Drosophila melanogaster: one gene and its partner. The protein of the gene in region 1 interacts with the protein of each later gene in a pairwise test. Each region holds a gene or a part of one and is shown in the gene's direction. Other genes may lie near its edges.

What was found.
Region 2: the proteins of CG7352 (region 1) and beag interact in a two-hybrid assay, tested with the Drosophila melanogaster proteins (one large-scale study listed by BioGRID).

What each region holds. Positions count from the first base shown.
Region 1 is NT_033777.3:8,345,592-8,349,347, forward strand, and holds CG7352 (uncharacterized protein), read left to right. Parts: upstream 1-2,127; 5' UTR 2,128-2,172; coding exon 2,173-3,033; intron 3,034-3,087; coding exon 3,088-3,627; 3' UTR 3,628-3,705; downstream 3,706-3,756. Other genes in the region: DppIII (dipeptidyl aminopeptidase III), read left to right, coding at 1-1,763.
Region 2 is NT_033777.3:9,063,365-9,067,120, reverse strand, and holds the start of beag (beag), read left to right. Parts: upstream 1-2,042; 5' UTR 2,043-2,131; coding exon 2,132-3,715; intron 3,716-3,756. Other genes in the region: Ada (adenosine deaminase), read right to left, coding at 869-1,882.

The sequences.
Region 1 (3,756 bases):
ATGAGCCGCGCGTAGGCAAGATCTTCGAGAAGGTCAAGAATCTGATTTATGCGCTCGAGTCGCGTAACGAGATCCTGGGCTTTGCTCCCGACGGAATCACCACCTACTGGTCGGATAACTGCACCAAGGAGGACTCCGAGATCGTGAACGCTTGGCTGACCTCAAAGCGTATCGAACCGTACATGTGCCGGACCTTCAAGATAGTTGAAAATGGTCAAACCGTCTACGATGTAAAGCTGGGCTCCGTGGCGGAGTCCACGCAGGACGGCATCACACTTCCGCTGGAAGAGTATAATGGCAACAAGTTTAGGGTGACACGCGGTGATTACCAGAAGCTGCTTCAGCGCGTCAACCAGCATCTGCTGCAGGCCCAGAAATACGCAGCCAATGAAAACGAGTCCAAGATGATCGAGCACTATGTCCGATCCTTTGAACAGGGCTCGCTGGACGAGCACAAGAACGGATCGCGTTGGTGGATCAAGGACAAGGGACCTGTCATCGAGACCTACATTGGTTTCATTGAGACATACAGGGATCCTGCTGGAGGTCGGGCTGAATTCGAGGGCTTCGTGGCCATGGTGAACAAGGAGAGCTCGGCCAAATTCTCCGAGCTGGTGAACCGCGCCGAGAAACTAATAGAGTACCTGCCCTGGACGGAGCCTTACGAGAAGGACTCTTACCTGAAGCCAGACTTCACATCCCTGGATGTCCTCACATTTGCCGGCAGCGGAGTACCAGCGGGCATCAATATTCCCAATTACGACGAAATCCGCCAGGATGAAGGCTTCAAGAACGTCTCGCTGGGCAATGTGCTGGCCAACATCAACCGCAAGGATCCCATTCCTTTCCTCACCGAGGAGGATCAAACTCTGATGAAAGAGTACAAGGTGAAGGCTTTTGAGGTGCAAGTGGGCCTCCATGAACTCCTAGGCCATGGTAGTGGCAAGCTATTCCGCATCGACGAAAATGGTGTGTACAACTTTGACAAGGAGAACACTAAGAACCTGGTCACCGGTGAACCCATCACCAAGTGGTATCTTCCTGGAGAAACTTACGACACCAAGTTCGGAGCAATTGGTTCCTCGTACGAGGAATGCCGCGCCGAGGCGGTGGGCTTGTATCTCTCCCTGCAGCGTGACATCCTGGAGATCTTTGGCTTCAAGGACAAAGCCGAGCAGGACAACATCATCTATGTCAACTGGCTGAGTCTCATCTGGAACGGCATGGGTGTGGCTCTGGAAATGTTCAACCCGAAGTCCAAGCTGTGGCTCCAGGCGCACTCTCGCGCTCGTTTCGTGATCATGAAGGTGCTGCTGGAGGCAGGCGAAGGACTCGTTAAGGTCGAGGAAACCGAAAAGGGTAAAAACCTTTTGCTGACGGTGGATCGCAGCAAGATCGATACCGTGGGCAGGAAGGCGCTGGGCGATTTCCTGACCAAGCTGCAGGTGTACAAATCCACCGCCGACATCGAGGCAGCTTCCAAGATGTACGAACACTACTCGAAGGTCGACGAGAGCGGATCGCATCCGTGGGCCAAGTGGCGGGATATCTGCCTGGCGCACAAGAAGCCGCGTATGATTCTCGTCCAGGCCAACACGGCGATCGGCCAGGACCAAAAGGTCCAGCTGAAGACCTACGAGCCCACCCACGAGGGGTACATCCAGTCATGGGTGGAGCGCTACCCCAACACTGACATCGACGATCTTCTGGAGAGCATCGTGGAGAAGGACAAGAAGTATTTCCCGACTGCCTTCAACAACTGAGAACATTTCGCATTTAACATTTTCGCCTTCATTATCAATTCAATTTGTTAACTATGATTTTGAAAAAAAATATATAAAAATATATATAGTCATCTAATGACCAACAATTTTAAATTTTAAATTGCTTTTATAGTAAAACTTTCGTAGTGAATGGTGATTTTAAGATCGTTTTTGCCATTCACCGAAAATATTGACAAAGGACCTGAATTTAATTGCTTGTATGTACATACATATATTGCGACCAAATGTATATTGCTCATAATAGCTCCACAATTAAGAATGTAAATATAAAATCAAATACTACAATTTGTTCATTGAATGTTTTCATAGTAGCCAGTCGATAAATATTGGTTTTTTTTTTTTTATTTTGTTTCTCGTTTCCATTTCTGTTTGCATTGTTTTGACCACCATGGCAACCGGTAGAAATCGTGGTAACCACAAGGAAGGTGGCACTATCAACATCGGACAGCCGCTATTCCAGGTGCCTCATTCATTGCGCAAGGAGCACGACTTTTTCAGCTCACAGCTGTTCCGAAAATTGCAGTACGACCTGGAGGAGGTGAGCCGCAGCCAGGAGCTTTCCAAAGTGAGTCCCATAACCCGCGACTTCATCGAGGAGGCAGCGATGACGCAGGAAATGCAAGATCTTAAGCGTGCGGAGTTTGTGGAGAGGAAACGTCGCCAGCAATTGCGGCGGGATTGCGAGGAACTGCGCGACTTGGCGGAGCAGCTGCGCCTAGCCGCCATTTCCAGGGATATAGCCGAGAATTTGGAGGAGAAAAAACGTCGTCGACAGCTAGACATCAAATTGGAAGCCGCGGAAGTGTCCCAAGAGCGCTGTCTGCTGGAGGTCAGGCAACGTGAGAAGGAAGTGGCTCTTAAGGAGGAACAACGCCGCCTTAGGGAGTCCTTGGCTGAACAAATGGAGGAGAACCGCCGACGGCGCCTGCAAGAGCACGCTCAGGTGATGAATGACCGGGAGCTGAGCCTTCTGATGCAGAAGCAAATCCAGGAAGAGGATCGAGCCCAGGAGCTGGAGGCGCAGAGAAAAAAACTACAAAAGCGACAGGACATGCTGCGGTCCATCAAGGAGAACCAGGAACTCAGAGAATGGCAGCGAGCTCAATACAACCAGGAGTTGAGTGACTTAGTCCAGAAGCAAAGTGACATGGAGCGCAGGAAACTCCAGCTGGAGGCTGAACGCCAGGAGATTCAACGCAAAAAACAAGAAATCAGCATTCGTTTGGGCCAGCAAGTCCTAGAAATCGAAGTAAGTCTTGAAGCGGTTTTTCGATTCAATCAATAAAGCTAACTCTTATTGCAGAACAAAAAACGGCATCGCGACAATCTGCTGCTGGATCTGTTGGAGGCGGAGTACACGGCCAAGAGTGACGAGCGCTATCGCCAACAGATGCAGCAGGAGCAGATGTCTCGCCAGCGCACCAGACAGGAGTTGGATCGCTATCGACAGGAGGTGAAGCATCGTAAGATGGCCGAAATGCAGATGAAGCGGGCGGAGATGGCTACGCGGCAGGAGGAGGCGCCGGATACAATCAACCAGAATTCCGAAAAGCAACTGGATGAATATCGCAGACGCCGGGCCCATGGAGCCTCCTTGCTTGCTATGATTGAGGATAATCACCGGAAGCGGGCGGAGGCCACCGCTGAAAATGTTCAGTACTTTGACATGAAGGCCAAGATCGATGCCGAGCAAGAGGAACGCATCAAACAGGAGCGTTTGGCCATGTTGAGCCAGGTTCCTTCCTCCGTGCTTCGATATCTACCAAAGCATGTCCTTAAGTCTACGGATAGGGAGCATTTCTGCCTAATTGACGCTCAGGCACGGGGCGGTGGCGATTCCTAGTCAGTGGCATAGTTCCAAATTGTAATTCTAAGACGGTCAAGTTTATTTTTGGCTTCCAAAAATAAATTATTTAAAATTAAGCGCCGTTGTGTCTACGTGACGTGTATCATTTAGGCTAGCGAAGATGCC
Region 2 (3,756 bases), 720 kb from region 1:
ACTTAAAAGCAAGAATACTAAAACCCTATGCCCGAACTCCTAAATAAAGTCGAATACAACAGCAAAATCCATACCATACCATTTTCAACTAGTAGAATTTTTCCAAAGTGTAGAAATGTAAACCTTTATATAAATATATAGATTTGTAATTGAACTCTCTAGTTGAGGTAAAAACACTTCTATACAATATAAATAAACTCCCAAGTCGGTCGTTTCTTGAAGCTCGACATTTGGAATGAACTGGATAAAGTAGTAAAACTCATGTAGAAACACAGCAGTAAGCTAAAACCAAACTAAAAGTATAAAATATAGATAAACTGTATATAGGGAATACCAGGCAGGCAAACCACTTCAACTGAAAGCTAATCTGCAGGCTTGGGTAGGTGGAGGGTCCGACTATAAAGATGTCTTCACCCAAAAAGTTTGTTTCAAAATGTGCTATTAAACTACAGATTTCGATCATTTAAGTCTTACTTTGGTTTCCTTAGATTTCGATCGTCCACTTCACTTGGTGCAGTTTAAGAGCCCACTATTGACCAAAGCTTGTACTCCATTGTATTTTGAATGCCTACCCCCAAACTAAGCCACACAGAACGGCAGAAACGAGAACATAAAGTAATGAACAGAAAACTTGAATTCAATTATGAATGATATTAAATGAGAAAAACATAAAAACTTATTAGCCACATATGTACGTACGAAGGATGAACATAACTAATGAACAAACTTGTAACTAAATACTTCTACATATTGAATAAAAAGAATGATATTAAAAGGTAAAATTTTTGACAAATAAGAATCAGGTTGGTACATATATGGTGTTACATACAAAAACTTATTTATTTCAATTAGGGCAGTGACAGTTTTTTTATTTGACCAATATGTCTGCGTAGTTCCCCACCCTATCCGCCATCTGTATTTGCTCCTGTTCGCTGGCGAATGAATGATGCACTGCCTCCAAGGTCAAATCGATGCATTGTTCACGGGTTAGACCGAAAGTTTCCGCAGCAATCAGAAACTCCTTTGTCAAAGTGGTATCAAAAACGCCACTGTCGTCCGTGCAGATAACCTTGGGTGCATCTGCCTCCATGATTCTTTTCAAGTGGTGCTCCTCCAAGCTGGGCACTGTTCCCGACTTAACATTACTAGTGAGGCAGCATTCAATGGCAATATTTCGTTGTTTAAGCTGCCCAATGTCCTCGGGAGTAAGAAAAGTTCCATGTCCACAGCGGGACATTCCAAAGTGCAGCATTTCCTTTACCTCCGATGGATTCTCGATCTCGGCGCAGTGTATAGCTAACTTCAGACCCTTATCCCGGGCCTGTGCAAGAATAGGAGCAAAGTCGGAAAACCGCCCCTTCCCTGGATTACCGCTAAGATCGATGCCTAAGATAAGATTTGGATGAGCCCGTGCCAACTCCACAGCCAGGGAAACTGTTTCCTCAGCCACGTCCACTGGTTCCGCTCGATTGATGGAGGGCAGTAGCTTGACTGTTATCTCTGGATACGTTTCGCTAGCTGCCTTAATTGCATCGATCACGATCTGCAGGTAGTCCCTGCGTGAATAGTTCTCGTTTGCCTTAGGAGTGGTCCTCATTTCCACATACTGGACGTTGTCCTCAGCGAAATCTCGAATCGCCAACTCCGTGGCAAATCGCAGACCCTCCCGGGTGGAGGTCAACTCGTGCACAAATGCAAACTTCTCGAAGCATGCATCCATATCCTTTTCAAATCGGCTGAAGTGCGCGCACAACTTCAGGAAATCTTTACAAGAGGTTCCATACAATCGCTCGCCAAGATCACATAGGCTTTTGATGCCCAAGGAACCGTTGAGGTGAGCATGGAGCTCTACTTTGGGCAGACCTTTAAGAAACTGCTCCATTTGTAGTTTAACAATAATAACAATACATTATGAGAAACAGTGATGCTAAATGTGGAATCGATTTTCAAATATTCGTAATTATTCGGAAAAAACGCTAAAAACGCTAATCTTCCATCACTGTAAACATGTTATCGATTACAGTACGGAGAAAAATCAAAAACACAGCCAACCCTGGCAGGCAAAACCAAGAAGAAGCACAATTTGTAAATATAGATTTTCTCTGCGAGTTTTCTTCGAATTTTCTTCGCCATGTCGGATGCCCACTTGGAAGCACCGCCTTCGGTGCGACTAACCAACGATGACTTCCGCAAGCTGCTAGCGACGCCCCGAGCTCCTCCTCCTGGCTCCGGGACGAGCAGCACCTCCGCTGGAGGATCTCTGGCCACTGCTACCTTTGCCACGCCCTCCACCGCCCCCGGCACGACAGGATTGAGTGGCGAAAAGAAGAAGGGTCAGAGCAGCAGCGAGCGGAATGATCTGCGTCGCAAGAAAAAGAACTTCTATGCGGCGCTCAAGAAGCAGGAGGATGTGAAGCTGCAAGAGCTGTCCGAGAAGTACAGGGACCGAGCACGAGAACGACGCGATGGTGCCAATCCAGATTACGTGAACGTGAGCACGCCGGGACACGGAAGCAGCACCAATGCGTATCGAGCTGTAGCGCCAGATATGAAATCCGGAATCGATGCCCAGGAGCGAAGAAGACGTATCATTCAGGAGTCCAAGTTCTTGGGTGGAGACATCCAGCATACGCATTTGGTGAAGGGTCTTGATTACGCCCTTCTGCAAAAAGTGCGCTCCGAGCTGCACTCGAAGGAAGCGGAAGAGGAGGAGATTGCCGCCGCTGTGGCAAGGGAAAAGCTCGCCGAAGCAGCTGCCGCCGCTGAGCAATTGGAAGCGGAACGCCGCGAGTCGGAGGATATTAATGCAATCAATGGTGCACTAGCGCGCAATATTTACAATCTAGTGCAGGCAAGGCGTTCGAAAGAAGTTCCCCGCAATGAGCTATTTGCTCCAGGACGGATGGCCTATGTGATCGACCTGGATGACGAGCTAGGGGAGTCGGATATTCCAACCACACTGAAGCGCTCCAAGTTCGAGGTGCCGGTGTCACAAGAGGATGTTGCCACGCTGACCACCAATGACATTGTGATCAACAAGCTGTCCCAAATCCTGAGCTATCTACGTGCCGGTGGTCGCAACAAGAAGAACAAAAAGCGCGACAAGGACAAACCGCTGTTCTACGAAAAGGAGGTGGAAAATCTTCGTGGGTCGTCTAGCAATGGTGGCTCCAGTCGGCACGCCACCTCGTCCTCATCGAACATGGGAGGGAAATCAGCTCCCTTGGGCGATAATATCTACGACGATATAGGGGACTACCAACCTTCTGCCACGCGACCTGAGCGAAACCGCCAGGAGCAAGGCAAGTCCGCCCCGTCCTACTTTGGAGACGGCCCGCCGGAGGCATCAGAGGAGCCGATAATATCCAGTATTCCCCCGCCACCCAAGATATCGAAGGCCATGGCCGCACGGTTCGCTGAACCCGAGGGATACGCAGAATGCTATCCCGGGCTGGAGGAGATGAACGACGCCATCGACGACTCGGACGATGAGGTGGATTACACCAAGATGGATTTGGGCAATAAAAAGGGGCCCATTGGACGCTGGGACTTTGACACGCAGGAGGAGTACTCCGACTACATGAGCACGAAGGAGGCGCTGCCCAAGGCAGCCTTCCAGTACGGGGTCAAGATGCAGGACGGTCGCAAGACGCGCAAGAACAAGACGGAGAAGAACGAGAAGGCCGAGCTCGATAGGGAGTGGCAAAAGATTCAGGTATGTATATCCCAAAGGATTCGTCGATGATCAATACAAAA